Linked DNA regions of Anolis sagrei. The protein of the gene in region 2 binds, or shares a complex with, the protein of the main gene of each other region. Links are inferred from orthologs where the notes say so. Each region holds a gene or a part of one and is shown on either strand. Other genes may lie near its edges. The genes, in order: MAD2L1 and MAD2L1BP.

Region 1 (15,181 bases), on a different chromosome or scaffold from region 2:
TCCTAACAGCCTCAGGCCCTTTCCTTTTCCCCCTCAGCCGCTGCGGCTGAGGGGGAAAAGGAAAGGGCCTGAGGCTGTTAGGAATGGTGGGAAACACCTGAAGGGCCAAATATTGCCCATGCCTGTTTTAGGCCATAGTTTGAGGCTATGGTTTTAAAACCTCCACAATTCTATTATTGTATAGAATAAGTATCTTTCTGTCAGTTTAAGCCCCTGTGTTGTTGTTGTTTTCCCCAGAAGCTGCTGCAGTCAATTTTTCCCTCTGTGGTAAACAAAAAGGGCAAAAGCTTTCAAAGACCTAATAATATTAATTTGTTTTCCGTGTCAGGAGCAACTCGAGAAAGTGCAAGTCGCTTCTGGTGTGAGTGCAAGTCGCTTCTGGTGTGAGAGAATTGGCCGTCTGCAAGGAAGTTGCCCAGGAGATGCTCAGATGTGTTAATGACGATGATCGTAATAATACATGGCCCCAAGGCGGGATACATAAAAAAATTCTCCTTATAGCAAACTCCCAAATAATTTGGGCTTTTTCAAAAGTCAGGACATATTCCTACTGTTGAACTTTCCTCAATTGAAAAGTACCACGTCAAAACCACCAAAAGCCAGTAAAAATTGCTAAGGTTTAATAGGCCTGCCTTCTCTTTATCTTCTCTGGACAAAACGTCCCAAAAATTGGGGGGAACTGTGTTGACAATTCAATATTTGACGTCTTTAACTTAAGGTTGAGGCCACCCTCACTAAAAATGCCTCAGAAAATCATGAAGTGATGCCTCAACTGAAAGACAGGATGAGGCTGAGGCCTTTGCATTTCACAACCCCTGATGCCACATCAGTGTGAAACCATGGAGTTCAATATAGTCACAGCATTGTAGCACATCCAAACACCTGGGAGTTACCTTGGACTGTTCCCTGACTTAAAAGAAGCATTGCTTGAATATCAAGCAAAAAGTGGATGCTATAAACAATATCATACGAAAGCTAACTGGCACAACCTGGGGATCACAACCAGACACAGTGAAGACATCTGCCCTTGTGCTTTGCTACTCTGCTGCTGAGTACGTATGCCCAGCGTGGAACACATCTCACCATGCTAAAACAGAGGATGTGGCTCTCAATGAGACATGCCACATTATCACAGGAGAAATTACATTTTAGTCAATATTGCACCACCTGACATCCGCTGGGAAGTAGCAGCCAATAATGAAAGGACTAAGGCAGTGACATCTCCGGCCCATCACCACTTCAAATACCAACCAGCACGCCAACGCCTTAAATCAAGAAATAGTTTTCTAAGATCTACAGAGACACTTGCAGGAACACCTCAGCAAGCGAGAGTCCAAAGGTGGCAGGCTAAACCCTGAAACTTCAATCCATGGGTAATACTAAATGAGAGGCTCCCTCCTGGGCACACAGAAGACTGAGCGATTTGGAAGGCACTGAACAGACTGCGCTCTGGACCACGAGATGCAGAGCCAACCTTAAGAAATGGGGACACAAAGTGGAGTCCACAACATGTAAGTGTGGAGAAGAGCAAACCACAGACCACCTCTTACAATGCAGTCTGAGCCCTGCCACATGCACAATGGAGGACTTTCATATAGCAACACCAGAGGTACTCCAAGTGTCCAGCTTCTGGTCAAAGGACATTTAATAGAATGCCAAGTTTTCAAACTTTGTGGTTTTGTTGCTGTTGTTTGCTTTTAATACATTACAACGGTATCCTTGGTTTCCTCCTGACATCTATATAAATGTAATGTTTGTTTGTGGAATTAACATAACTCAAAAACCACTGGACGAACTGACACCAAATTTGGACATAACACACCTATCAGGACAAGTGACCATCACTCATAAAAACGCTGAAAAATACAGCACAAGAGACTTTAAAAGCCAACTCCCCCAAAATACATTTCAAAGGGTGCGCAAAATCATACATATACACAAACACATATATACACATATATACAAATATACGCATATATACACATCCAAAACACATATACACAGAGTGGGCCACAGCAACGTGTGGCAGGGGATGGCTAGTGATAAATAAATAAATATATAGATAAATATAGTCACAGCTCTGGAATAAAAACTATCTTTTCCGCCTATTTGTCCTTGTTTTTATCATACTACATTGTCTGCCAGATGGTAATAATTCCAAACAATATATTCTTGTGATGAGAAACTCCTCAATTCAGACAAGGTAAACAAAGAAAAAAGAATTGAAGTATTCCAGACTTGAGTCCAATCCCAGGAAATCAAGATTCTTGAGCCAAAATCTAGTAAGAACATTTATGGGACATTAAAGTCCATATGAGAAAAGAAAAGAAAAGAAAAGAAAAGAAAAGAAAAGAAAAGAAAAGAAAAGAAAAGAAAAGAAAAGATTCACTCTTGGGGGTGTGAAGATTGATATTCCATAAATCAAAGAGAAAGGTCAGCTTTCAACTAATTTATTAGCAAGAAACAAGATTGGAAGCAAATACATGAAAGTAATCCAAGACCAAGTATTTTATAGGAAAACATACTTAAGAGACCTAAGCCACTAGAAGTTAGCTTACTATTTCAAAAAAAATAACTGGAATCTAGATATGACAGAAAAAAAAACATGAATTATGTTATATTTCCAAAGGTGAACTCTAAAACAATCTTAACGTTAAATTGTCTTAGTGCAACTGACAAATATTTAAGATAGCGTTGTTGTTGGTGCTCATACGGCTGTCTAAATACAATCTGTCTAGTTCAGCTTCCTTTAAAATGTCTGGTACACAAAATATTTGTGCTCATATCATAAGTTGACATGCTGAACTCTACACTGCAATCTGCTTTTCATTTGAAAAGAGTGGCAACAGTTAATTACAAAGCACAGCTTCTGTGACTCAACCATTTTGCATTTAAAGGTGCTTGATCTTTTCCAGAGAAGGAGCATAAAATTTATTTAATTTAACCAACACATATTTGGTTAAAATACTATCAAAAGAGTGACTGGAATCCCTCTGTGTCAGCTGGAAAAGTCACTTTGAAGAAGGTGTTTATTAGGAACATTTTCCATGGTCACAACAGGTGGCTCGAAATGTCTGGGTAAAATCAGCTGCTGCTTATTAGAGAGTAGACACTCCCAACAGGGCAAAACATCAATAAATAGTAGGGATGCCAGGATTTGGAACCGATTTTACATGTTGCGTGCAATTAAATAAAGTACTAAGCTAATTTCTACATGGAACTAATTTTTGTCATATGACATGCAATCCTTACATTTCAACTACTAAGTAATCATAAATATACAGTAGAGTCTCGCTTATCCAACATAAATTCCCGGCAGAAGGTTGGATAAGCGAAAATGTTGTATAATAAGGCAGGATTAAGGAAAAGCCTATTAAACATCAAATTATGTTATGATTTTACAAATTAAGTACCAAATCATTATGTCTTACAACAAATAGACAGAAAAAGCAGTTCTATATACGGTAACGTTATGTAGTCATTACTATATTTACAAATTTAGCACCAAAACATTGCAAAGTATTGAAACATTTGTGGATCTGGATGGGAGGCAGATTGCGTTGGATAATATAGAACGTTGGATGAGCAAAGGTTGGATAAGCGAGACTCTACTGTATAGTTTAAAAGGGATGGAACAGGAAAGTATCTTGACTTCAAATATCCCTTCATAATAATTTTTGGCTGCTCATTTTATAAAAGATAATATAATAACATGTTGGTCAGCAGAAACATGGCCGACTTCCTTTGTTTCAATAGTATAGAATGGAAGACAGACTGACTTATTAATAAAATATTTGAAATATATGCATACAATCTGTTAATCTTGAACTTCAGATTAATGATGACATAAAGAAGAAACCAAAGGAAAAGTGCAAGGAAAACAAAGTTGTTCTGAAGGGGATGTAGTTTTATAATATTTTAAATTGCACTATAGGACTGTAGGTTCCATCTGTAGAGTGTAAATAGACTGAAATATAGCTTTGAAAAAGAGCTGCCACTGCAGCTTAGGGAGTAGCCTTCGTGCCTACCCTCCCTATTCTTTCACACAGCATTCTTGTAAGCAAAAGATAAGCCAGTGCCTGCCAAGCACTTCCCAGCGAGTCAGGGTCACTTGAAAGAGATGTGAACTTTCCAGTTAATTCTAGTTTCTGTTGTTTTCCACCTGTCTGCTTGCTTAGGAATAAAGAGCCAATCCGAAATGTATTAGGCAAGCTTAGACCAATCAAACAGACAATATGTTGACATCAATCAAAATGCACTTTTTGGATTTCTGTAAAACAATAAAAGATTGCGATCCCAATCTTTTGGGGCGCGGTAGTCTTTTCATGTGTAGAGCACAACTGCCGCCATTTGCACGGTCGGCAAATAAAGCTAATCTTCAGAGAGATTCAATTTGTTGTTGTGTCCTTCCATGCCACCCTTCCAAGACAGAAGGGGACTTCTGGGAATGTGCAGAGTGCATGCCCCTTCAATTCCATAAATCCTTTACACTACATTTCAGTATACAGGATGGCTGTTCTATGTAAAATAGGGGTGAATAAACATCTGCAGGGTATAAAATACCCTTTGATGCAAGGCTGAATTGGACGAAGCAAATAACATGCATTTGATAACATTGTTATTTTATTGAAATGAAAACAAATTCACTTGGGTTTTTTTTAAAATAAAAAACTTTTCTCAAGACCTTATTTGAATATTCAAAAACATAACTCATTGTCCTTGTCAAAAAGATGAAATCCTTTCACTTTTATTAAGAAAAAATAAAAGTGGTGAGGAAGAAGACAAAGTGGATGTGGATAAAACACTGATTTTTTTTTTCTACTAGGAAAAAGAGATAAAATTGTTGGCAAACAGGTCAAATAAGCAAAGCAATTTATTGTAAACAGAAATCAAATGTGTTTGTGTGTGAACAATTTATACTAACATTTATCTAGTGCCAAAAGCGACAAACACAGCTGCAGAATATTTGCCCCATGAATTGATAAAAAAGTTAATGTGATCAAAGATGTACATTATTTGCATGCATTGAACATGACAGCCAGGAACTTTTTTTTTCCTTTTGTGATGCAGAAGGATCTGGGCCATTGCAATGAGTGAGGCTGTCCTTTGACTGTCCATGCTGTTTTGTTTGTTTTTTTTCACTTTTCAGGACAACACTGAGAGAATCAAGCACTTTTAGTTAAACACTACCATCTTGTGGTAATTCTAGTGAAAAACCTAAATCTATTCTAGAAATGGCAAAACGAATTCAGTAATGCTCTGGACCTTCACATTCTTATGTTCCAAAACTTGTTCTCAACTAATCCAGTCATAATTTACAAGAGGAAGGAGTCTAAATTATGTTTACATTTTATCACCATAAATTATTACTACCTGCTCAAACTATTGGCATTTGAAAACCTGGTAAAGATGCCTCCAATGCCAAGAACTACCGACCAATCACTCTCATGTGACATTGGTATAAAATATATGAGGGTATGCTATTAAATCAACTAGGCCCTGTTATTGAACCCCAGCTTATTGCACAACAAGCAGGTTTCAGACTAGGGAAAAACTGTACAGCTCAAATTCTTAACTTGACCTAGTATATCAGGGAAGGCTATGAGAAAGATTGTATTACGGGAATAGTTTTTGTGGACCTTATGGCAGCCTATGACATGGTGTAATATAGGAAATTGCTGCATAAAGTCTACCATATCACCTGGGATTACGATTTTATAAAAACTATCCAGACCCTCCTAGAAAACCTCAGCTTCTATATGGAGTCTTAGGGCAGGAAAGGTAGATGGAGAAGGCAAAATAATGATCTACTTCAAGGCAGTGTTCTTGCACATACGCTGTTTAACATTTATACTAATGATTAGCCACAACCACAACTCACAAAGAGCTTTATATACACTGATGACCTTGGCCTAACAACACAAGCAAAGGACTTTGAAACAGTAGAAAACCAACTTACTAATGCCCTGAAAAATCTCTCAGGTGGTTGTCTTTGAAGTATTACACCTGCCAAGACCCAAGTGTGTGCTTTCCACCAACATAATGGTGAAGGCAACAGGAAACTGAAGGTTACCTGGGAAGGCCAAGAACTTGAACACTGTTCCCACCCTAAATATCTCGGCGTTACCTTGGATCAAACACTAACATTTAGGAAACACTGTGCGAACACCAAGCACAAAGTATCTGCACACAATAACATCCTGTCGAAACTTACTAATAGTGCATGGGGTGCAGACCCAAAATTAATAAGAACATCAGCCCTGGCCTTGTCTTACTCAACTGCTGAGTATGCCTGCCTTGTTTGGCACAAGTCTGCCTACATGAAGCAAGTGACTATAGCACTGAATGAGACATGTAGAATAATCACAGGATGTCCCAAATGTACACCTGTTGATAGACTCTATAAGCTATCTGGCATTACCCCCCCCCCCCCAATGTGCAATGGCTGTTGCTAATTACGAGAGAAATAAGGTTGAACACTGAAAACCATGCACTGTATGTTTATTAGTCTCCTCCCTGTAGACTTAAATCAAGGGAAAGTTTCATGAGAACCAACACTCCTCTTAATGCTCCCCAAGAAACAGCAAGAATATCCCTTTGGGCATCTAAACATTAAATCATCTGGGTGTCCCCTGGGCAACGTCCTTGCAGACAGCCAATTCTCTCACACCAGAAGCGACTTGCAGTTTCTCAGGTCGCTCCTGACACGACCAAATCTAAACCAGGAAATCCCAACCGGATGCCCCACCCCCCATGAGGGTCCTCCTCCAGGGGCAAACCAAGAATGAGCAACTTGGAAGTCCCTGAAAAGACTCAGAAGCGGAGTTGGTAGATCAAAAGACAACCTGGGAAAATGGCACTACCTATTAGCATATAGATGCGGAGTTTACTTTGTGTGACTGTGGAGCAGAACAAACAACTCCACATCTAGATGCTTGCCCACGATGTCCTGCCTCATACATAGCAGAAGAACTAGTTAAAGCTACAGACAATGCAGTCTGTTGCCAGTTTTTGGTCTAAAATTATCTAGCTGTTTGTGCTCTTTTTATTTTATCAGTTTTATACTTATTTGTTTATGCAATGCTTTTGACACAAAATAAATAAAACCTGCTCAGACTGTGGAAGAAAAATGAACACATTGTTTACTTTTCTGTCAACCAAAGTCCCACTTCATCAAATTTGTAATGGCATATATCTGATCAAACAAATGTCAGTAGATCCAGTGAAATAAATGGGATTCACAATGGGTTTTCTCTGATTGTAAATAACACAAAGGGGGGAGGAGGACTGTGAACGGTAGACCCAAATTGCACTGTTGTTTCATATTGCAGCTAGCTAATATTGATTGTGCAGATGTGGGCAAACTTGGGCCCTCCAGGTGTTTTGGACTTCAACTCCCACAATTCCTAACAGCCGTCAGGAGAAAAATTGCCTCCAGAACATGGCCATATAGCCCGGAAAAACCTACAACAACCCATGGATTCCGGCCATGAAAGCCTTCCACAATACAGCCGGTAGGCTGTTAGGAATTGTGGAAGTTGAAGTCCAAAACACCTGGAGGGCCCAAGTTTGCCCATGCCTGCTCTAATATATAGTTTCAAGTCACAATCACAACTATAAAAAGGGCCAGCATTAAGGAAAACAATGAGTCCTGAATAAGTACAAAAGTAAATAAACACCTGGTTGCATCAGCTTAGCTAATGGAAATAATTAGAATCAGGTGCATGAACATTTAGATAAATGGGGAAGTTTGTTGGGTGGCATCTCAAAAGGACATTTAATCAACTACCAAACTCACAAATTTTGTATTTTGTCTGTTTGTTTGCTTTGTTGTGTTAGAAATGCAATATAATTTGGCTGGTTGTCCTGACATGACAAATAAATAAAATCTCAAAAGGATCAAAACTTTGGTCATTCTTTCTTTATGTTTCTGTTTGTAAGAGAACTAATTTGGGATTGGCAGATTCCTTAGATATCTTAACTTTACTAATCCTGGAATTCCATATAGCTGGCTGTTAAAAGCAATATTTTAAGTCTTACATCAATTGGGTGGGAAACCGCGGGAAAACTTCATTGAGAAAGCCGCGCATGCGCACATAATAAGAGCTAAAGGCGGCTCAAATGAAATAGAACGTCTCTGTCGTCTTCCTCCGTTTGCGCCTGCGCAGTGAGTCGCCGGCGTCAAGTCTTGCGTCTTGGGACCACGTGACGATGCAGGGGCGGGGCTTTGGATTTTGAAAAGCGTGGCGGGAAGGCCTCTAAAGCTACTGTCTCGTGTTTTGGAAGGGGCGAATTTCCAAGGCTTTGGGGGAGGCCTTCTTCCGGTGGTTTCTCGTTTGGATCCTGACCCTGCTGGCCCTTTTCCTTCCTGCCCGCCATGGCGAAGCAGCAGAGCCGGGAGCAAGGCATCACCCTGCGGGGCAGCGCGGAAATCGTGGCCGAGTTCTTTTGTGAGTCGATTACAAGACTGTGGGGGCGGTTTGACACTATAGTAATTGCTATGGCCGGGTGCTATTGAATTATGGGAGGTGTAGCTTTACAAGGCCTATAGTTCTTTCTGCCAAAGAGTGGTGGTGCCTCAACAAACTACATATCCCACAATTCTGTAGCATTGAGCCATAGCCGTTAAAGTGGATTCGAACTGTATTAATTCAAGTGTAGATCAGGGATGGGCAAACTTGGGCCCTCCAGGTGTTTTGGACTTCAACTCCCACAATTCCTAACAGCCTCAGGCCCTTTCCTTTTCAGGGTGAAAAGGAAAGGGCCTGAGGCTGTTAGAAATTGTGGGAGTTGAAGTCCAAAACACCTGGAGGGCCCAAGTTTGCCCATGCCTGGTGTAGATTGTAAATAGGCCAGGCTGAAGCTGAACTGAGGCCTATTCAGCTGAAACTTTAAAGCAGCCAATGTGTTTCCTGATTCTGTTTGTCTTTCTTCCCTTTCTCTGTCTCCTTTGATATTAAGAAGTATGATAGATAAGGAAAACATGGGAAGAACTCTCTCCAGGGAAGTCTCCTTTGCAATATAAATAGAAATGCCTCCTTAAGAATGTCTAATATTGTGCTATGCTAATAATATATATTGTATATACATATAATATTGATGATAACATTATAATGTAATACAATATTATACTAATAATACTATGATATAATAATTGTGTATTATATATTACAAGTAATATTACTAATATTGCAGTATAGTGGTATAGTACAATATAGTAATATATAATACTAATATTGTGCTATGCTAATATAACATATTGTATGTACATGTAACATTGATCATAATATTGTAATACAATATAATACTAATAATATTGCAGTATAGTGGTATGGTACAATATAGTAATATATAATACTAACATTGTGCTATGCTAATATAATATATTGTATGTACATGTAACATTGATCATAATATTGTAATATAATATAATACTAATAATATTGCAGTATAGTGGTATAGTACAATATAGTAATATATATAATACTAACATTGTGCTATGCTAATATAATGTATGTATGTATAAAATTGATTATAATATTGTTATACAATATAATGCAATATAATAATTATATATTACATGTAATATTACTAATAATATTGCACTGTAGTGGTATAGTACAATATAGTAATATATAATACTAATATTGTGCTATGCTAATAATATAATATACTGTATGTACATGTAACATTGATTATAATATTGTTATACAATATAATGCAATATAATAATTGTATATTGTATATTACATGTAATATTACTAATAATAGTGGTATAGTACAATATAGTAATATATAATACTAATATTGTGCTGTGCTAATAATATAATATACTGTATGTAGATATAACATTGATCATAATATTGTAATACAATATAACACTAATAATACAATATAATATAATAATTATATATCACATGTATTGTTACTAATAATATTGCAGTATAGTGGCATAGTACAATATAGTAATATATAATATTAATATTGTGCCATGCTAATAATATAATCTATTGTATGTACATATAATATTGATCATGATATTGTAATACAATGTAATTCTAATAATAATGCAACATAATTGTATATTATATATTACATGTAATTACTAATAATATTGCAGTTTAGTGGTATATAATACTAATATTGTGCTCAGCTAATATAATATATTATATGTACATATAACATTGATCATAATACTGTAATACAATATAATACTACTAATAATGCAATATTATAATATAATCATATATAATACTGATATTGTGCCATGCTAATAATATAATCTATTGTATGTACATATAATATTGGTCATAATATTGTGATACAATATAATAATACTAATAATAATACAATATAATATAATGATTATATATTGTATGTAATATTACTAATAATATTGCAGTATAGTAGTATAGTACAATATAGTAATATATAATACTTATGTTGTGCTATTCTAATAATATAATATATTGTATGTACATATAACTTGTAAGCTGTTCTGAGTCCCCTTTGGGGTGAGAAGGGCAGGATATAAATGTCGTAAATAAATAAATGTCTTTTAGTATTTGCACATTTATAATAATGATAATATTAAAAAAAACTTTGCTTCAAGATCTACCTCCTTCCCGAAGGGACTCAGGGTGGTTTACAGACACAAAGCAAAAGGCAAACATTCAATGCCCCAAATGAATACAAACACATCAAAATAATACAAGATAAGGCACAGAAACAGCAGCAAACTAAGAGCAAAGAAGTAAGTTGCTCTGAGTCCCCTTCGGGGTGAGAAAGGCTGAAATTAACATAAAGCAATCCAATAAGACACAGTAAACTAAAACATGAGTAAGACATTTCAGTATATACCCTAAAAGCAATTATGACTTCAACTCCCACAATTCCTAACAGCCTTGAAGTCCAAAATACCTGGAGGGCTGAAGTTTGCCTATGCCTGTGTTAGACCTTCTCAACCTAAAAACAAGTCTAGTTGAAATCTGGGGTTTCTGTTACATAGATTATTATTATGTTTATTTATACCCTGCTTTATCTCCCCAAGGAACTCAAAACAGCTTGACATAAAAGCATCAGCATAGCCATTTGAAATATACAAATATACGAACATTAAAGCAGGATTAAATATAAATAGTATTAAAGCATTCCCAATTAAAACAAATCAAAGTTAGATCTCTGTTGGCTTCCACTGTAAATTCATATTAACCCTGCCGTGTCTTTACATTGCTGTCTTCTCCCAGAGTGAGTGTTAGATTTTAATCTTTTGAGTAATAAGAGTTGGCAAAGGCAGTACAGCTTTCTGGGGTTCAGGGCATATTCTTAGAGAAAATACATCTCGTATAGACTAGTTACATCTGTTGGTTTCATCTCGTAATGCACTGTATGTGGGGCTGCTTTTCAAGACTTTTTGGAAGCTTCAACTAGTCTAATGTGTGGTAGCCATATTGCTAACAGGAGTGGCGTACAGAGAGCACACAATCCTCCTGTTATGCCAGCTCCATTGGCTGCCAGCTTGCTACCGAGCACAATTCAAAGCGCTGGCTTTGGTCTATAAAGCCCTTAACGGCCTTGGCCCAGTTTACCTGTCTGAACGCATCTCCCTCTATGAACCATTGCAGAGGCTAAGATCTTCTGGTGAGGCCCTGCTCTCAGTCCCACCACCTTCGCAGGCACGGCTGGTGGAGACAAGAAAGAGGGTCTTCTCAGTGGTGGCCCCTCGGCTGTGGAATTAGATCGGCTTCCCACCTGTCATTTTGCAAACAAATTAAAACTCGGCTTTAGGAGCATAATTACTTGTGCAATATAACTGGAATTGGTTTTGGATTGATGAATATGACTATCTTCATGAATATATGCACAATAGTTGTCTAATGTGTGCATATGTTGCTTTAATGTTGTTTTTAATCGTCGTTTAATTGTTTTTAACTGTTATTCGGGCATGGAATAGTGCCCCTTATGTAAGCCGCCCTGAGTCCCCTTCAGGGTGAGAAGAGTGGGATATAAATATATGCAAGTTAATAAATAAATATTTTAAGTCAAATCTGTGAATAATCAAATGAACAAAAATCTAAACCACAAACATGGAGAGATGAATATATACAACACAGCTAGCCCTCCATAGCCATGGGTTCAATCATCCTAAAAATATTCCCTCCCTCCAAAAAAATAAACAATTCCTAAAAGCAAACCTTGATTTTGCCATGTTATATATGAGATATCTTTTACTACACTATTGTGTATGCCAATATTGCCTTGCCATTTGGAAATACTTAATGGGAAAGAAAAAGAGCATGATGAAGTATTGATTCTTGAATTGTAATAACATGCACTTTTTTTTCTTTCAGCATATGGCATCAATAGTATTTTATACCAACGTGGGATCTATCCTGCTGAAACCTTCACACATGTTCAGAAATATGGGCTCACTATGCTTGTAACAGCAGACTCTGAACTTAAAAACTACTTGAATAACGTCGTGGGGCAATTAAAAGGTACTAGCAGTTGTAATATTGTTATTAAAGGGTGATATACAGTTTTCTGGGTGCCATAAGGTTGCCAAATGCTCCTTACAGGCTTAAGAGAGGTAAAATAAAAGTGGGGGAACAAAAGAACATGTTTATTCGGGCATGAATCCTGGTATCAAATTCCTCTTTTTTCTTTTGCGCCCATGACCTCTATCACTTAGTCACTGCTGCTTCTTTGTCTGCACTTGAATAACTATGCCAGTGGCCAGTTACAAATGGACTTGTAACTTTTTCAGACATGGATTCATGTTTGGTTTGAACTGTCTATGTAGCTTGGTTTAGCCACAACATTTCATTTCATTCTCATTCTAGTTGCAATTCAAATGCCAAAAATACATTGCATCAATATGTTGAATTGCAAATGTTGTTGTTATGGGATGGTGGTGTTAGGTATGTGGGGTTTGTCTCCAAAAGGTACCAAATCCAAACAAAAAAAAATGAAAAATTAGTTTATCCACAATGTTGGATATGAGTATAATATTAAAACTATCAAAATGTGTCAAATCACTCCTATTTGGGTTTGGAAAACTGCATTTTATAGCTCAAAATGGTTGTTATTATCCCTGTAAAATTTGTCCAGATGGATTTGGTACCTTTTGGAAACAAGCTGTATGTGAAGAACCATCCTATGAACCATTTTGGAGTCTAAGATTGCAGGCAAGATTGGCGGGGACGAGAGACAGGGCCTTCTCAATGGTGGCCCCCTGGCTGTGGAATTCCCTCTCCAGGGACATCAGATCAGCCCCTTCCCTCCTGAGCTTCTGTAAGAAAGAAGAAACCTGGCTTTGTGACCAAACTTTTGGAGAACTTGAGAAATAGACAGATATGGAATTGATGTGCACTGACTACCTGAAATGGCCGGATTACATTTAAGGATCATGTGATTGACTCCTAATGTTTTATATGTTTTTAAACTGTTTTAATGTATTTTATAACTATTTAAATATCTGTAATTGTACATATCCTATGGCTTCGTGTGGTTGCCTTCATGTAAGCTGCCTTGAGTCCTCTCCTGGGTAGAGAAAAGCGGGATAGAAATGCCGTAAATAAATAAGAAAGGCTACCCGATACTTTGAGAACTGGATTCAGCCCCAGAAATAAATGGATAAGATTTCCTAGTGTGTGGTTTGAAACCTGCCTACAGTGTGAATATGTAGGGAAAGTTGGTATATGTTATAGACATGCAACCCATTTCTTACTATGTATTTTTGGCAAAACTAAATTTGGTTGCTTTTATCTCCCTTTATCAACCATCTCAGAGATTAAGATCACCTGAGGAGGCCCTGCTCGGTCCTGCCTGCGTTGCAAGTGCAATTCTTGGGGATGAGAGATAGGGCCTTCTCAGTGGTGGCCCTTTTGTTGTGGAACTCCTCAGTGATATAAGATCAGCCCCCTCCCTCCTGAACATGGCTCAGGGACCAAGCCTTTGGCCAATAATGCATTGCAATAAGTAAAAATGGAAATTGTGCAATAATGACTGAAATGGCTTTTTAAGTATGATTCTGGATTGCATGGTTTTAAAAATGTGTTTTAATGTTTATATGACTTTTTAAATTTATGTTTTTAATATACTGGTACTTGTTTACTTGCATACTTGGTATGACACCGAATTGTTGCCTTTTGGAAGGCTACTTTGTGTCCCCTTTGGGGTGAGAAGAGCAGGATATAAATACAATGAATAAATGAATTATTTCTTGTGTAATAGAATACAAAAGTGAAGGCTTTCTTGGGAGTTACAATTTAGCTTTAGACAAGCAATTCCTCACTGCCAAATTGTTTCATAATTTGACAAGAGAGGGAAATACCTGTGATATTTTTTCAGTAGAAAGAAAATGGTGTCTCTGTCTTCCTATTAGTGTACTAGAGAATGTTGAGGTTTTTTGAAGAATCCCAGTGAATGTAAGGAAATATTATTCTCCATTGCCAACAGTGTTAGAAGACAGGAAGATTTAAATACTCACCCTTCCCTTGTGGGAAGCAGCACCAATGAGCTGCTCTTTCCACTTCTAAAAGGTAAACACAACTCTGTTTTCAGAGTTCTCTGCACATATGAGAATAAGTAGAAAACATACTCAGAAATATAGTTAATGAACCAATCCAAAATTGTAGCTACCTGGTGCAAGGGTCAGAGTATTCCTGGTAATTTAATGCAAATGTTAATTTTATTATTTATTTATTTATTTCTAACATTTTTGCCCCACCCTTCTCAACCCCTAGGGGGACTCAGGGCGGCTTCCAATTGGCAACAATTCGATGCCGCATAATAAAATACAAACAGCAATTATAACAGTTAAAAGCATAAACATTAAGACATAAAGATTAAAACAGTATACTTACAGTCCATTGGGCTATTAACACAATGTGGTAGCAAAATACACATCAAGGCTGCTGCTGAGAACCCCAGATCACTCTGAGAGAACAGAAGCTGTCTATTTGCTTACAATTTAAACTATGTAAGCAAAGGGAATCTTTTAATTTCATCTTTATTTACTGTATGTCTTTTTTGGTAAAGAAAATTATACTTAAAGGCATAATGTACATTATGTAAATGGAAAATAGCATGTAAGACAGTTTAGAAAGTTAATTACAATTTATTTTAATAGACTTCTAAAATTAGTTCTCTAGAGTGTGGTGGAGGCTCCTTCTTTGGA
Region 2 (15,807 bases):
AGGATGTATTGTTGAACGCTTTCATGGCCGGAATCACTGGGTTGTTGTGAGTTTTCCAGGCTGTATGGCCATATTCCAGACATATTCTCTCCTGAAGTTTCGCCTGCATCTATGGCAGGCATCCTCAGAGGTTGTGAGGTTTGTTGGAAATTAGGAAATGGGTTTATATATCTGTGAAAAGTCCAGGGTGGGGAAAAGAACTCTTGTCTGTTTGAGGTAGGTGTGAATGTTATTTCTCCCACCCTGGACATTCCACAGATATATAAACTCAATTTTCCTAGTTTCCAACAGACCACACAACCTCTGAGGTTACCTGCCATAGATGTGGGTGAAACATCAGGAGAGAATGATTCTGGAACATGACCATATAGCCCAGAAAACTCACAATAACCCAGAGAGAGGACTGTTATAATTCCACACTTTTCATTCCATTCAGTTGTTTGAGCTTTGGACCAAGACTCTGGAGACAGGATTCAAATCCCCATTCAATCATGGGAACCGTGGAGAAGTCAACCCCTCTCAGCTTCGGAGGAAGGCAAAACCAGATTCCTTCTGAACAATCCTTGGCAAGAAAACCTTATGACAGTTTGCCTTAGGATCACCATAATTCGGAAAGGACTTGAAGGTAAACAACAACCAAGTATTGAACTGAAATGGCATGTTTGCTGGCAGCAGGTGGGGAGCCGGATGAGAATACCTCCAGGATTACACACATCAAGATGATGGTGAAGGCAGCAGGCTATAATGTACTATCAAACTGCATCATTAGATGAGATGTATAGTTTTGGTGTATCCTTCTGTCCCTCCTCCACAACATGGCAAGAAATCCCAACAGGCAGCATCGATATGGAGCTATTTACTGTGAGACTGGGGGCCCTTCCACACAGCCCTATATCCCAGAATATCAAGGCAAAAATCCCATATTATCTGCTTTGAACTGGAATATATGGCAATGTGGATGCAGGTAATCCAATTCGAAGGAGATACAGTGGGATTTTCTGCCTTGATATTCTGGGATATAGGGCCCTGGGTTTTCCTTACATTTGGGCAATGGATCTCAGAGATAAAACATTAGCACAGCTTGGGAATTAAGGGGGAACTTCATTAGAATCATAGAATTATAGAGTTGGAAGAGACCTCATGGGCCATCCAGTCCAACCCCCGGCCAAGAAGCAGGAAAATTTCATTCAAAGCACCCCCGACAAATGGCCATCCAGCTTCTGTTTAAAAGCTTCCAAAGAAGGAGCCTCCACCACACTCTGGGGCAGAGAGTTCCACTGCTGAACGGCTCTCACAGTCAGGAAGTTCTTCCTAATGCTGAGATAGAATCTCCTTTCTTGTAGTTTGAAGTTTCTCCTAAGTGTTTTAAGGGACTGTAACTGTCAGTCCCTGGGTGCATCTACACCTGGCAGGTATAGAGTGTGCATCCCACTTTAAATCTATGGCTGCCTAGCAGATTCTTAGGTTCTCATTACACTAGTGTAGGCCTGGGCAAACTTTGGCCCTCTAGGTGTTTTGGACTCCAACTCCCACCATTCCTAACAGCCTCCGGCCCCTTCCTTTTCCCCTTCAGCCGCTTATGCGGCTGAGGGGGAAAAGGAAAGGACCGGAGGCTGTTAGGAATGGTGGGAGTAGGAGTCCAAAACACCTAGAGGGCCAAAGTTTGCCCAGGCCTGATCTACACTGTGGAATTTAGCACACTTTGAGGCTTTAACAGACATGACTCAAGGATGTAGAATCATGGGAGTTGTAGTTTAACAAGGCCTTTAGCCTTCTCTGTCAAAGATTCCTTCCAAGGAGGTTTGCCATTGCCTTCCTCTGAGGCTGAGAGAGTGTTGACTTGCTTAAAGTCATGGCCTGGCTCAAACTTGAATCTACACTGAGAATTAAACGCAGTTTGATATCTCTTTAGACTCCAGGGCCTCAATGTTGTGCAATATTGGGAAGTGTTGCATTTTGGTGAGGCACAGAAGGCTAAAGATAGATATAAACAAAACACTCCCAGGATTCAATAGTCTGTGTGGTGCATTGGGAGGTTAAAGTGGTGTCAAACTGCGTTAGTTCCACAGTGGAGATGCAAAGTGGAGATGAACAGCGGGTGGGTTTTCTCCTCACCTCAGGCGGCAGGTAGGGCGGGTTGTTGGCCTTCCCCCCGCGGTGCCTCCCGTTCTTCTTCCTGCCCTTGGAAGAGGAGCCCCCGCTGCTGGAGCCGGCTCCGGAGCGGCCTCGCAGAGCCCCCCCGCCGCTTCCGCCTCCTCCTCCTCCTGGCCGGCAGCAGCCGCCGAAGAGCTCCGACACCCGCGAGTCCATCCCTGGCGGCGCCTCCTCCTCCTCCTCCTGCCTCCCTTCCCCGGCTGAGCTCCTGCTCCTGCCAGCGCCGCACTTGGCTTCTGAGGGCTCGCTCTCTCAGGCTCTCCTCCTGGCGTCAGAAAGAGGAGCGCGAGGCATCACGGGAAGACAGGCCTCTGCAGCCGCTCCCTCGAACTACCACTCCCAGCCTCCTCTGCGCCCTGTCACTCTTTCGCAGAGCCCACACAGACACATCGGCCAGGCACCCTCAAACAGTGGTTCTCAACCTGTGGGTCCCCAGGTGTTTTGGCCTACAACTCCCAGAAATCCCGCCGTTTATCTCCACTGTGGAACTAACGCAGTTTGACACTACTTTAAACCCCTAATGCGGCACACACTGTTGAACTGAATCCTGGGAATGTTTTGTTTATATCTATCTTCAGTCTTCTGTGCAAAAGTGCCTCACCAAAGAGCAACACCTCCCAGGATTGCACCGTAATGAGATCTACAGAGATCTACAGAGACACTCCCGGGAACACCTCAGCAAGCGAGAGTCCAAAAGTGGCAGGCTCAAACCCAGAACCTCAACCAATGGCTGATACCAAATGAGAGACTCTCCTCTGGGCACACAGAAAACTGGGCAACTTGGAAGGCGCTGAACAGACTGCTCTCTGGCACCACGAGATGCAGAGCCAACCTCAAGAAATGGGGCTACAAAGTGGAATCCTCGACATGCGAGTGTGGAGAGGAACAAACCACTGACCACCTGCTGCAATGCAACCTGAGCCCTGCCACATGCACAATGGAGGACCTTCTTGCAGCAACACCAGAAGCACTCCAAGTGGCCAGATACTGGTCAAAGGGCATTTAATCAACTACCAAACTCACACATTTTGTATTTTGTCTGTTTGTTTGCTTCGTTCTGTTAGAAATGTAATATAATTGACTGGTTGCCCTAACACAACAAATAACAAGTAAAATACTGTAATGAGGCCGTGGAGTTTAAAGAGCATCCAAATCCCTGCATATTTCCAATTTCCTATTCCTGGACTGCAACTCCAACCAATTCTCCAGATAGATAGATTAGATAGAGATAAGTAGGTAGGTAGATAGATGGATAAGGAGGACTGCTGGGAGTTGTAGTCCAAGAATAGGTAGAGAAGGAAGAAAGGGGGAAAAGAGGAAGGGAAAGAAAAGGTGGGAGGGGATGGAAGGGGATAAGGAAGGAGAGAAAGAAAGAAAAAAGGGAAGGAAGGAAAGAGAGAGGAAAGGAAGTAGAGAAAGAAAAAAGAGAAAAGGAGGGAAGGTAAACCATAGCAACGTGTGGCGGGTACAGCTAGTAATAAATAATAATAAACTTGATTTATATCCCATCACCATTTCCCCAAAGGGGACTCGGGGCGGCTAACATGAAGCCAAGCCCAAAATTACAGTACAGCAAAATAAAATACAAGAAGCAAAACTACCATCAAAATAAATACATGAAATAACAAAATAAAATAAACAGTTTCAAAATAACATGATAGAGAAATAGAATACAGTGGTCAGGCCAAATGTACTAGGAATAAAATTGATAAAACCCTGGATGAGTTATGTAGAATGTGTTTCTGAGGGAGAATGGGTTTCTAAGGGAGGAACACAAAAGGACTGTGTTTAATTCTCCAGTGTAGATTCAAATCTGAACCAGGCCATGACTTCAAGCAAGTCACACGCTCTCAGCCTCAGAGGAAGGCAATGGCAAACCTCTTCAGAATATTTGACAGAGAAGGCCAAAGGCCTTGTTAAACTACAACTCCCATGATTCCATAGCCTTGAGTCCTGGCAGTTAAAGTGTCAAGGTGTGCTAAATTCTACAGTGTAGATCAGGCATGGGCAATCTTTGGTCCTTCAGATGTTTTGGACTCCAACTCCCTTTCTTTTCCCTCTCAGCAACTTAAGCTTAAGCGGCTGAGGGGGAAAATGAAAGGGCCGGAGGCTCTTAGGAACTGTGGGAGTTGGAGTTCTAAACACCTGGAGGGTCAAAGTTTGCCCAGGCCTACTCCAGCTGTTTAAAAAAGACTGCTATAGATCGGATCATGCAAAAGAGATGCACTGAGTTTTTATTTTATTGCAATATATGTATGTATATACACATATCATATACAATATAACATTGAAAAGTCACTGTTTACAATGATGTTACCCCATCCAACTTCCCTCCTTTCCCTAAGTCACAGATGTTTATATACTGCTAGTCCTCTAACAAGTGAATTATTCTTTATTCTATTATCTAGTTTTCTTAATAATACAGATATCTTGTTTGCCAGTGGTTCTCAACCTGGGGTCCCCAGATGTTTCTGGCCTACAACTCCCAGAAATCCTAACAGCTGGTAAACTAGCTAGGATTTCTGGGAGTTGTAGGCCAAAAACATCTGGGGACTCCAGGTTGAGAACCACTAGCCATTTAACCAAAACCTTGCTTCACCTGATCTCTGATAGACCTCAGACTATGACTTTGGATGTGGATTTGCTCTTGGATTGGTTAGCTTTTAATTAAATGTTTTAATTTATTGTTTAGTCAATGCTTTAATTGTGATTTTATTGCTATTGTTTTTGTGGCATCTAATGAGTGCCGATTGTAACCCGCTCTGAGTCCCCCTTCGGGATGAGAAAGGCAGAATATAAATGTCTGAAATAAATAAAATAAATAATTCACCTGAGGGTGGTTTGAATTTGCTGTTGCTTTGGCACATACAGTTGATAAATGGTTTCCATATGGCCTCAAACAAAATCTCTTTCATTTCTCCTGATCTTACTTTCTAGGTTGGTTTCTCAGATAAGAGCTATAGCCCATACAGGCAGTTCCCAAGTTACAAACAAGTTAGGTTCTGTAGGTTTGTTCTTAAGTTACATCTGTTTTTAAGTCAGAACAGAGTCTGACTTAAGTCTAGCTACACACACACACACAGATTTCTCTCACTTCTTGTTGTCTCAACCCTGTTCTTAACTATGAGTAATTTCTAAATTGGATGTTTGCAACTCATGGACCGTCTGTATTCCATTTATTCAGTTCTGCATTGGTACGTTTTCTTATTTTTCCATACTTTTACTGTTTCCATCCATGCTGCACAAACTAGAACTTCTATGAGGCCTTTGTTCTATAGGTTCTGATTTTTGTCCTCAAATAGAGAAGTAGCAATGCATCTCTATAATGGACCTTTCCTCCTGCTGTACAGCTTCTCCAGGTTAAGTCTGCTTGCTAAAATTTAAAATATGCGTGGACATAAGAACTCAATAGTCTCTTCTGCATAATTTTGATACTCTCCTGTTGATCCCGTGACATTTGAGTGGATAGCAATGCCATTTACCAACAGTTTTCAATGTGTTCTATCTAATTTGAGCTGATTTATAAGGTAACTTGGCAACTCAAAAAGAATGAGAGTTACTTGGGGGGAAAAACAGACAAAACAAATGGAACTCAGTTGGGGAAGATTTGCCTTACAAATGTATTGAGATTTTCTGAGCTCACTGCTAAGTGGGCGGATGTTTACAAACAGAGTCACATCCTGGTACTTCCTTCAAGCACTCCCTTTGTACTTGGTTACTGTCGATGTCAACTCATTGCATCAGTTGGAAGAGATTGCTCTGTTTAGTGCCTTCATTGCATCAGGTCAAGGCAGGAGGGTGAGGCAGCATGTGCTCTGAAAAAACAATACCTTTGCTCCCTGACTTCTCCTATGAAGCTTACTGCTATACAAGTTCATCAGCTCAGGTCAAGTTCAATTATCATCAGTGGCAAACAATATGGTACTTCCAAAATAATAAAAGAGGGATACAAATGACCCTAATTTCCACAAAACTGGGACGTTGCTTTATTTGTAAAAAGTCAAAATATTCATTATAAAAAGGGAGGGCAGGGGAGTGAGTGAATCAGTATATTACACTAGGTAACACGATTTTTGTTCCTGGGTTATAAACGTCATTTCCTAATTGGCTCTATCATAAAAACATGGAAAAGGTTTCTTGAACTGCAAAACTTTGCTTTTGCGGGCAACCTGCAGCACTTTTTGCTATAGTTTTGGTTTTATTTTGATGTAATACGTTGTCCGGGCTTGGCCCCATGTAAGCCGCTCCGAGTCCCCATTGGGGAGATGGTGGCGGGATATAAATAAATATTATTATTATTATTATTATTAGTCTCAAGCCCTTGGTCCAACAGTTAGGATTTGGCCTTGTACCCATCCATTCCCCAGTTCTCTGGCATTTAAGGGCACATTTTTTCCAGCCCAGAGCTTTTTTTATAATCCTTTAATTGGCCCTGGAATTGAATGGCACCGGTCCCCTAGTAGGGCCACTGCTGAGACCAATCCTTGCACTATAGTATTCAGCCAGCCCCATTTTTCCCTCCTCCTTGGCCCAGCCCGTTCCAAATAGTCCAGGCCCCTTATTGAAATCTTTGCCCCTGGCAGCTTACCTTGCCTGAAGAGAGTGGTTTAAAATTGACTGTAATTTATATGTCGTGTTAACAGTTTGTGCCTATGTTTTTGTTTTATATTGTATGTTTTTTATTATTTTGCATATGTGGAAACCGCTCTGAGTCCCCTAGGGGAGATAGGGTGGTATACAAATAAAGGTTTTTTAAATTATATTATTATAATGTATTTTTCTACTGACATACCCAGAAGTATTTTTTTTTCTGACCGCCGGAAGAACTGGCACAGCTTTGGGGAGCGAGGCCCCTAGGGGTCGGTCTATCTATCACAGTCAGGCATGGGCCAACTTGGGCCTTCTCTCCAGGTGTTTTGGACTTCAACTCCCACAATTCCTACCATAAGCATGTGGACAATTTCAAGAGAAAGGAGGAAACCATGAAAATGAAAAAAAATCTGGCTACCAGTATCAAAAAACCTCTAAAATTACAACTGCAAAACAGCAGAGAGGAAACAATCAGGGACATCTAATCACCTCTCAACAAAAGATTGTCCCAGGCACTGCCAGGCCACCAAATGCTAATCAAGGTGGTCAGTTGAAACATTCACACCTAGCTCCAACAGACAAGAGTTCTTTGCCCCACCCTGGTCATTCCACAGATATATAAACCCACTAGCTGTTCCCTGCCACGCGTTGCTGTGGCCCAGTCTGGTGATCTGGAAAAGAAAGTAATGAGAAAGTGTTGGTTTCTAATATATGTAATTCCTTTATGCTTGTGAGTAAACAGTATTTCTTGTTGTTTCTTTGTCAGTGTTGATGTGGAGAGTGTCTGGTTTGCCCACCCTGGAACATGCAACATATCATAGTCCTTCTTTAAGGGTCCTCTCTTTCAAATCTATGATACTATATCTGTGTGTGTGTGTGTGTGTGAGAATCATATCTATCTATCTATATATATTTATGACTAGATGGCTCTTTGTCAGGAGGGCTCTGATTACATTTTCTTGCCCTGGTGAAGAGAGTTGGACTGGATGGCCTTAAGTATTTTCTGATGGTCATGGGGGTTCTGTGTGAGAAGTTTGCCCCATTTCTGTTGTTTGTGGGTTTCAGAATGTGCTTTAATTGTAGGTGAACTATAAATCCCAGTAAGTACAAATCCCAAATGTCAAGGTCTATTTCCTCCAAACACCATCTGTGTTCATATTTAGGCATATGGAATTTTTGTGTCAAGTTTGGTCCAGATCCATAATTGTTTGAGTCCACAGTGCTCTCTGGATGTAGGTGAACTACAACTCCCAAACTCAAGGTCAATGCCCACCAAACCCTACCAGTGTGTTCTGTTGGTCATGGAAGTCCTGTATGCCATGTTTGGTTGAATTCCATCATTGGTGGAGTTCAGAATGCCCTTTGATTGTAGGTGAACTATAAATCCCAGTAAGTACAAATCCCAAATGTCAAGCCCTATTTCCCTTAAACTCCATCTGTGTTCATATTTGGGCATATGGAATATTCATGCCAAGTTTGGTCCAGATCCATCATTGTTTGAGTCCACAGTGCTCTCTGGATGTGGGTGAATTATAATTCTCAAACTCAAGGTCAATGTCCACCAAACCTTTCCAGTTTTTTCTGTTGGTCATGGGAGCCCTGTGTGCTAAGTTTGGCTCAATTCCATCATTAGTGGAGTTCAGAATGCTCTTTGATTGTAGGTAAACTATAAATCCCAGCAACAACTCCCAAATGACAAAATCAATTTTTTTTGAGTGGAGGACATACATTCGACTGTTAGGTGTCTTGTGTCCAAATTTGGTGTCAATTCCCCCAGTGGTTTTTGAGTTCTGATGGTAGCATGAACTAACATTACATTTTTATTTATATAGATTTTCCTAGTTCCAACAGACCTCACTACCTCTGAGGATGCTTGCCATAAATGCAGGCGAAACGTCAGGAGAGAATGCCTCTAGAACATGGCCATATAGCTCGAAAAACCCTACAACCCAATTCCTACCAGCCTCAGGCCCTTTCCTTTTCCCCCTCAGACGCTTAAGCGGATAAAAATGGTGGGAGTTGAAGTCCTAAACAGCTGGAGAAAAGGCCCAAGTTTTGTCGAAGGCTTTCATGACCAGAATCACTGGATTGTTGTATAACAACCCAGGCCCAAGTCTGCCCATGCCTGATCTATCGCGACATCCTGGCACGCCTATGGACAGCTAGCCATTTCTGCCCTCAGCCAAGATGGCGCCGCGAGACTCCCATTTCCCGGAAGTGATGTCATCTTACCGCTCCCAGGATGCTCGCTGAGGCGGCCATTCAAATCGGATAATAACCCGAGGGGAAGAAAATGGCGGCGGAGGGAGCGACGCAGGGCACAGGTAAGGCTTCGTGGTGCGCGTTTTTGTCTCTTTGGGGCGAGGCCTCTTGGGGAGAGTGAGGCAGCCGCCCTGGCTGGTTTCCTCTTTGTCTCCCGCAGAAGGCGGGCTCGGCGGCGGAGCGGAAGGGCGCGAGGGCCCCGGCGTGGCGGTGGCTGTCTCCTCGGGGCCTGCCTCTCTCAGCGGCGGCGGCGGCGGCGCGGCCTTGGCGGTCTCCGTGGCTTTCCCCGGCTCGGTGACGCAGGAGGGCTGCTTCCGGTTCACCTGCGAGCTTCTCAAGCACGTCCTGTACCAGCGGCAGCAGCTGCCCTTGCCTTACGAGCAGCTCGCCTTCTTCTACCGGAGGCAACCGCCCAGGACCCCCGGACAGGTAAATAGGGTGAGATGGGCGGCCTCAAAGCAGCCTTCAAGCTCTTAAAATAACGCTTCTCAACCTGGGGGTCGGGACTCCTTGGAGGGGGGGGGGTCACGAGGGGGTGTCAGAGGAGTCGCCAAAGACCATCAGAAAACCTGAGAGTTCTCCGTGGGAAGTTTGGCCCAATTCTATCATTGGTGGGGTTCAGAATGCTCTGATTGTAGGTGAACTATAAATCCCAGCAACTACGACTCCCAAATGTCAAGGTCTGTTTCCCCCAAACCCCACCAGTTTTCACATTTGGACATATTGAATATTTGTTCCAAGTGAGGAGTTATATTAAGGGATTGCAGCATTACGAAGGTTGAGAAACACTGTCTTAAAAGCAGGCACGGGCCAACTTGGGCCCTCCAGGTGTTTTGGACTTCAACTCCCCACAATTCCTAACAATGGCTTGTTGTGGGAAAAAAATGGCTTGTTGTGGAAACAAGGATTGAAGATTTCAGTGAAGACACCTTTTCCCCATAACTTTTTCAAGTGTGAATTTCCCTTCCAATGAATAAATTTCTCTGACTTCCTGTTGTCTCACCCCTGTTCTTAACTCTGAGTCATTTGTAAGCCAGATGTCTATAACTTGGGAACTGCCTGTATTGCTGTTTTTTGTGCTTTAAAATATTCACAACTTTTTCCAATCTCCTTAACTTTATAGGATGAAGAAGTGGTGAGAAAAGTCCACTTAAAAGATAAAGACAGCAGCCAAAAGTGCCAGCAAGTGCTAAGTGATCTTGAGGGAGTGTTCAAGCACTTGGAAACCATGTTTACTTTGACACTGGTCCCTCGCGTTCTGATTCTTCTCGGGGGTACTTCTGTCAGCCCTAAAGAACTCTATGAGATCAACCTGCAAGGGGTGTCTGTTAAGGGTGCTGAGGACAGTCTGCAGACAGCTGCCTGCATTCGCAAGCTTTTCCATTCTCTGTTCCTAGCAGATGTGTTCAGCGAGCTGCAGACAGGCCCTACTATGGGTGTCACTGTGATGGTTCAAGGGCACCGCAATTGCGGTGTCGACTGGTTCAGACCCAAACTAAACTACAAAGTGCCAACGCGAGGGAGGAAGCTGACTGTGAATGTATCATGCAATCATCACAACAGTACAGGTCTTTCTGCCTATCAGGAGATGAACTCGGCTTGGGACGATTACATATGGTTTCAAGCTCCAGTGACAGTCAAGGGCTTTCGTTTCTTTTCTTCATAAAAAAAATAAAGGGAATTTTTTTACTATTGTCTTTTTGATCCACTATAACCAAACCTTTCCCTTTTCCTATAACCAAACTTTTCCATAACAGTTGTATTCCCACTCTGTTGTATTTTTACATTTATGGGAATAGCTTTTGGGGAACTGATTCAAAGGGTCAAAACAATGCCTTAATGAGTCACCAACTTTCCTCTACTGTGGACTTTATTTCCAACATATACTTGACATAATTGAACCACTGCATAAGTGTCTTATAATATACTCCCAGTGAACTGTGTTCATTGGTAAATAATTGTGCAATGTTAGCAAATGCTCAATAATGGTGTGAGAAGAAGGTGAATCCCATCTTACTAACTTTTTTTGTGTGTGTTGATGATGGTGGATTGATCTGTTATAAGGAATATAGCCATAGTCCCAAGCAACATAGTGTCTCTCCATGAATTGATAACAACTTCTAAAAAAGTAGTCTCCTAAGTACAACAATTGCAGTGATGATTTCTAGGTGCTTTTTCTGAGAAATAACTCCTCTGAGTATTGTTATAAAAGATGAGAGTGGAGAACTTCAGCAAATAGATAATGATGAGTAAAACTGAGATTCATTCTTTGCTTTCTGAAGGACATTTGCTCAGCTATGTTAAGAACTGCAATGTCTAGTGTGTGTGTGTATGTGTGTTAGTAAAAAAGATGGCTTGGAGTTTCCCATTTTTTCAACATCTTCATGTAGCAGCTTTAACCCTCTGACCAAGTAGTTTTGTCTGTGTGCATCAGATACTCCTACACGCTAGACGTTGTGCACAGCCCGTGCTATAGCTTTAGTTTAAGTTGATAAAGTAAAATACCTCATTTGATGCTTTGACTAAAACTAAACTAGACTTTGGAATGAAATGAATGTCATCAAATAATCAATTTTAAAACTGCTGTCCCACATAACAGCTGATCCACTTCATTCATGTTAAGAAAGTAGTATGTATGGGGCTACTTCTATGGAACTACTAAGGGAAGGTAGTATTTTGTTCCAGACAATGGTTATCTATTTATTTTATCCACTGTTAAGAGGCTGTATGGCTTTATTGTCCAGTTAAGGACAAATTCAGTTAACTATGGGAAATGTGGCTTCCCACACTGCTTTTAAAATTGGAATTTGTTTTTTGGTCAGGGGGAAAAATCAACCTACAATCTCTCTTTGTGGAAAGGAGGATGTTTTCAGGCTAAAATAGAGGCCTATGGGGCACAGAAAAGTTTATTATACTCTAGTTTACAATACGTTTTTGGGATATGAGCTATTTGAACAACACTGGAACCACTACCTTCATAGGCAAATTCCAGAGAAGAGTGTTTAATCTGGTATGTTTTAAGGACTGCCTGGCTCCTAATGACATTTTGCATTGTACTTGAAAAACCTGGGAGAGGTTAAACAAACATGCTTATTCTAAAACATGAAAGTGCAGAAGGTATTGTATCAGCCATTTGAAAACAGGTTAAGATCTCTGTCCTTGCACAGAGGAAAGAGAATAGGGAAAGCTCTGACAATTTACAGAAAGTTGCCTGCAGAGTAGAGCCCAGCCCTCTGACACTTCAAGTAGCCTTTAAAATTACAGTGTACATTCTATAATTGTGTATAAAATGGTGCTATGTAAGATATGTGATTAAATGTGCTGCTCCAATGAATTGGTTAATGACATTGTCCTTTTACAGATCTGTAATATGAAATAAATTACAGCAAGAAAGATTTACTTGTTATAAGAACCAATTTAATATGACTACTGCCCTCTTTTTTTAAAAAAAACTTAGATGCTTACAGTAGTTTCTCACAATAGAATAAATGACCGTTGAAAGCTCAAGCAGTAATGTAATCATACTATTTTACTTAACGTGCCAAAGGGTTTTTGCACTTGGATTACAGCTCTCTTTGCCATGCTTATGCCTTGCTGTTACCTCACAGACGTTCCACTTTCCGAATAAATTGCTTGAAGTCCTGAGCCAAGAGCTGTGGCTCCTCCAAGGCAGGGAAGTGACCACCCCGTGGCATGTAGGAGTAGGTAACGAGGTTTTTAAACTTCCTCCTTACCCAGGAAGGCGGAGCATGTAAAAGTTCATCAGGGAAGGCAGTAACACCAGTGGGAACATAAACTCCAGTCCTGTTATAAAAGAAACCATTATCAAGGGTCGACTTGGCCATAGCAAAACTGATGTACATTTTTCTACCGTAAGCCACATTACCATTGGGAAATTGCATTCTTTTTGTCTGGCATATCTATGACTTCTGTTTTTATTGCCCATAAGTACACAAATGTTAAACAGGCCCAACTGTATTGTATTTACCATTGAAACAATCTGTGTCCCTCTGGGAAGATAGGGCAGAATACAGATAAAGTCATTTTATTTATTTATTATTATCCTTTCAAATTAAAATGGCACCCATGTTAGCTAGAATTAGAATGTTTATACTTAGGAACACAGATGGATAGCAAGAGTTGAGGGTTAATCAAGCTTCATAGGGATAATGAGCTTGATCTGTATTAGAAAAGATGCTACCATGGAACTTACATCTTTACTGTCAAAAATCTAAATGGTTTGTCATATTTGGAAATCAGCAAGTGCTTTCTAAACTCCTACAAAGGATTTAATATAGCCAATGGGATTTTGACTTCATTTCAGAAACTTTGGACAAATATCCCAATAATAGTTGGGAAGGCATTCTGCTTATATTGTGGCAAAAAATTAGATACAGGCAGTCCCTGAGTTATAAACAACTCATAGTTTAGAACGGAGGCAAGACAACAGAATTGTGAGAAATTACCCCTCGGAAGGGAAATTCACACTGGAAAGAGCATGGGGAAAATTATTTATTTAGGGCTTTTATATCCTGTCCTATCTCAACCTCTGAAGAGGGACTCAGGACGGCTAACAAATCGGCACCCCATGGCACCCACATCAGTAAAACATAAATATATACTTTAACAGTAGTATAATAATAACAATATAAAACAGTACAAAACATAAAACAGTAAAAAAAACAAGCAGTCAGCGGTTACCGGTTTGAATCAACATCCAAGAGGCTTTCAGTCAGTTCTATATAAGTCGTCACGTCAGCCAGTCAGGCTAATCTACAAAAGCCTCCCCAGTGAAGCTTTCCCATCAATCCTTGTTTCCACAACAAGCCATTTTTTTCCAAAATCCAGTTATCACAGGGACAGAAAGTGCATTTAAACCTTCTAAAAAGGGGCAGAGATAGCAAAACATACCACCGGGGGGGGGGGGGGTGGGGTGTGACCCTTCCTTATGCTGCTCAAAGTTTAAAAATATATATTTTTGGCTGGAGTTACACTTAAAAAATTACCTGATCTGACTTACAAACAAATTCAACTTAAGAACAAACCCACATAACCTATCTTTATAATTTGGAGACTGTATTGCTGTCAGGTTAACTTGTGCTTTAGCCAGTGCTATGTACTGTATGCTGCACGACCTTTTCTGCTACACTTATGCTTATGCTATCCTATTAGCAGCTTGTCTAAGAAATCTATGCAGACTACAGAGTGAAAGCCATATTGGCCTTAGGCAGCAAAAATGACTTAGGTGAGCCCCACAAACAGTAAACATAAAAAAAACCTCATATCATGTGGTATGTAGAGTATCTTGGAGAGACAGGATTTATCTTGTAGCAGTTTTTGTTTATTTTTCCTTACCTGCCACTGGGAGTACTGCTTGGATTCTGGGAAAAATTCTCCTTGTAAAAGCGCATGGATGTCACAATGGAGCCTGTCACCCAGTAAATCATGACATTGGTCAATAAGTCATCCAGCGAGTATTTCCTGAATAAGAGAATTACAAGAAGACTTTTGCTTAGCTTTGGTACTTGCCTACAAAACATGGAACGTAAGTTCAGGGCACTGTAATTTTATATTGCTATGTTTTCACATGTTTTATGTAATTATGTTGTTGTTTAATGTTTGCATTTTCAGTTTTATTTTATTGTAATTTGTTGTTTGGGCTTGGCCTCATGTAAGCCACTCCGAGTCCCCATTGGGGAGATAGTGGTGGGGTATAAATAATAATAATTATTATTATAGTAATTATTATTATTATTATTATTATTATTATTAAAAGGTGCTAGAATGTGTTCAGCAGTGCAGCAGCATATAATTAAAGCACTGAATTAAAACTCAATTGTGTTCCTATTTGAGATGGAAGTTTGCCAAATTATTTGTCCTGCTCCTCTTTTACGTTAGTATTTGCAATGTGTCCCCAGTCTCCTAAGATATACATGTCATAAAAATCCTTACCTCTCCAAACCACCATCATCCAAGTTTGGAAATGATTTATCTGTCCATGTAGAGAACTTTTCTAGGATGTATGCAGCAAGTCCCACAGGACAGTTATTCAATCCACATCCTAGGTCAGAAAAGCAGCTCATTAGTTTTAAAAATAAAGATATGTACTGCTTCAGGCTAAAATTTGGAACAAGGAAGAATCTGGTTCGTAGGTCTGAGGAAGAGTTAGGGCTTTGATTTCAGACAATTTCACAACTCCCCTCCTGGATATCATCACTTCAGAGTCTCAGTTCTTACAAGAATCCAATGACCTGGGCAAAAGGATCATCTAAGAAAACTCACTGTAGGAATTGTTGATTTTTTCCCCCTGATGGTGGCTGTCCATCTGTGTCCACACACTCTTTTTTCCTTTAGAATCACATATTCAAGATAATAGATTGCCTAATTGAGGAGTTATATATTTTCTACTATCTTTGGAAGTGTGAGAAATAAGTCTTTATATGTTATCTTGATTCACTAAAGCACAAACTAGTAATGCAATCATTAGAACATAAATAGTGTCATTTCAATTTTATACGGCTATCTGCTGATTGAAAAACACTTGATTATTCATGTGTTTTAAGTTATTAACAGCATGGAATAGAATCAATAATTTTGAAGGAAAAACAACAGCTGCCTTAGATGAGGTCCTTGGTTTACACCCAGCATTCTGTTTCTTATGGTGTTCGATCACCAGATGCTACGACATGCACATGAAGTGATGAGAGCAAAGCTCCTCTTATTATTTTTAAGACAGTGGCATTCAGAAGCATGAGGTCCCTGATTCAGGAGGCAGTATATAGATAATCACAGACTATAGCA

What was found.
Region 1: the proteins of MAD2L1BP (region 2) and MAD2L1 are in contact, whole or in part, in a crystal structure (PDB 2QYF), measured with the Homo sapiens proteins. The link is inferred for Anolis sagrei from reciprocal best matches to the Homo sapiens genes MAD2L1BP and MAD2L1. Residues at the interface, in NP_055443.1 of Homo sapiens: Pro61, His79, Tyr82, Gln83, Gln85, Pro88, Leu89, Pro90, Gln93, His96, Ala185, Leu187, Arg188, Phe191, Arg192, Phe195, Asp198, Ala199, Phe200, Ser201, Glu202, Leu203, Gln204, Ala205; in NP_002349.1 of Homo sapiens: Tyr33, Arg45, Thr52, Leu54, Lys122, Asp126, Glu127, Arg129, Ser130, Arg133, Gln134, Thr136, Ala137, Thr138, Thr140, Phe141, Leu142, Leu144, Glu179, Val181, Arg182, Leu183, Arg184, Tyr199, Asp205.

The regions. Positions count from the first base shown.
Region 1 is NC_090025.1:35,716,144-35,731,324, reverse strand, and holds the start of MAD2L1 (mitotic spindle assembly checkpoint protein MAD2A), read left to right. Parts: upstream 1-8,196; 5' UTR 8,197-8,377; coding exon 8,378-8,450; intron 8,451-12,350; coding exon 12,351-12,497; intron 12,498-15,181. UniProt on the Homo sapiens protein: Component of the spindle-assembly checkpoint that prevents the onset of anaphase until all chromosomes are properly aligned at the metaphase plate.
Region 2 is NC_090021.1:49,651,669-49,667,475, reverse strand, and holds MAD2L1BP (MAD2L1-binding protein), read left to right. Parts: upstream 1-8,979; 5' UTR 8,980-9,037; coding exon 9,038-9,068; intron 9,069-9,166; coding exon 9,167-9,435; intron 9,436-10,129; coding exon 10,130-10,672; 3' UTR 10,673-12,401; downstream 12,402-15,807. Other genes in the region: GTPBP2 (GTP-binding protein 2), read right to left, coding at 2,116-2,310; epoxide hydrolase 1-like, read right to left, coding at 12,609-12,810, 14,362-14,487, 14,959-15,067. UniProt on the Homo sapiens protein: May function to silence the spindle checkpoint and allow mitosis to proceed through anaphase by binding MAD2L1 after it has become dissociated from the MAD2L1-CDC20 complex.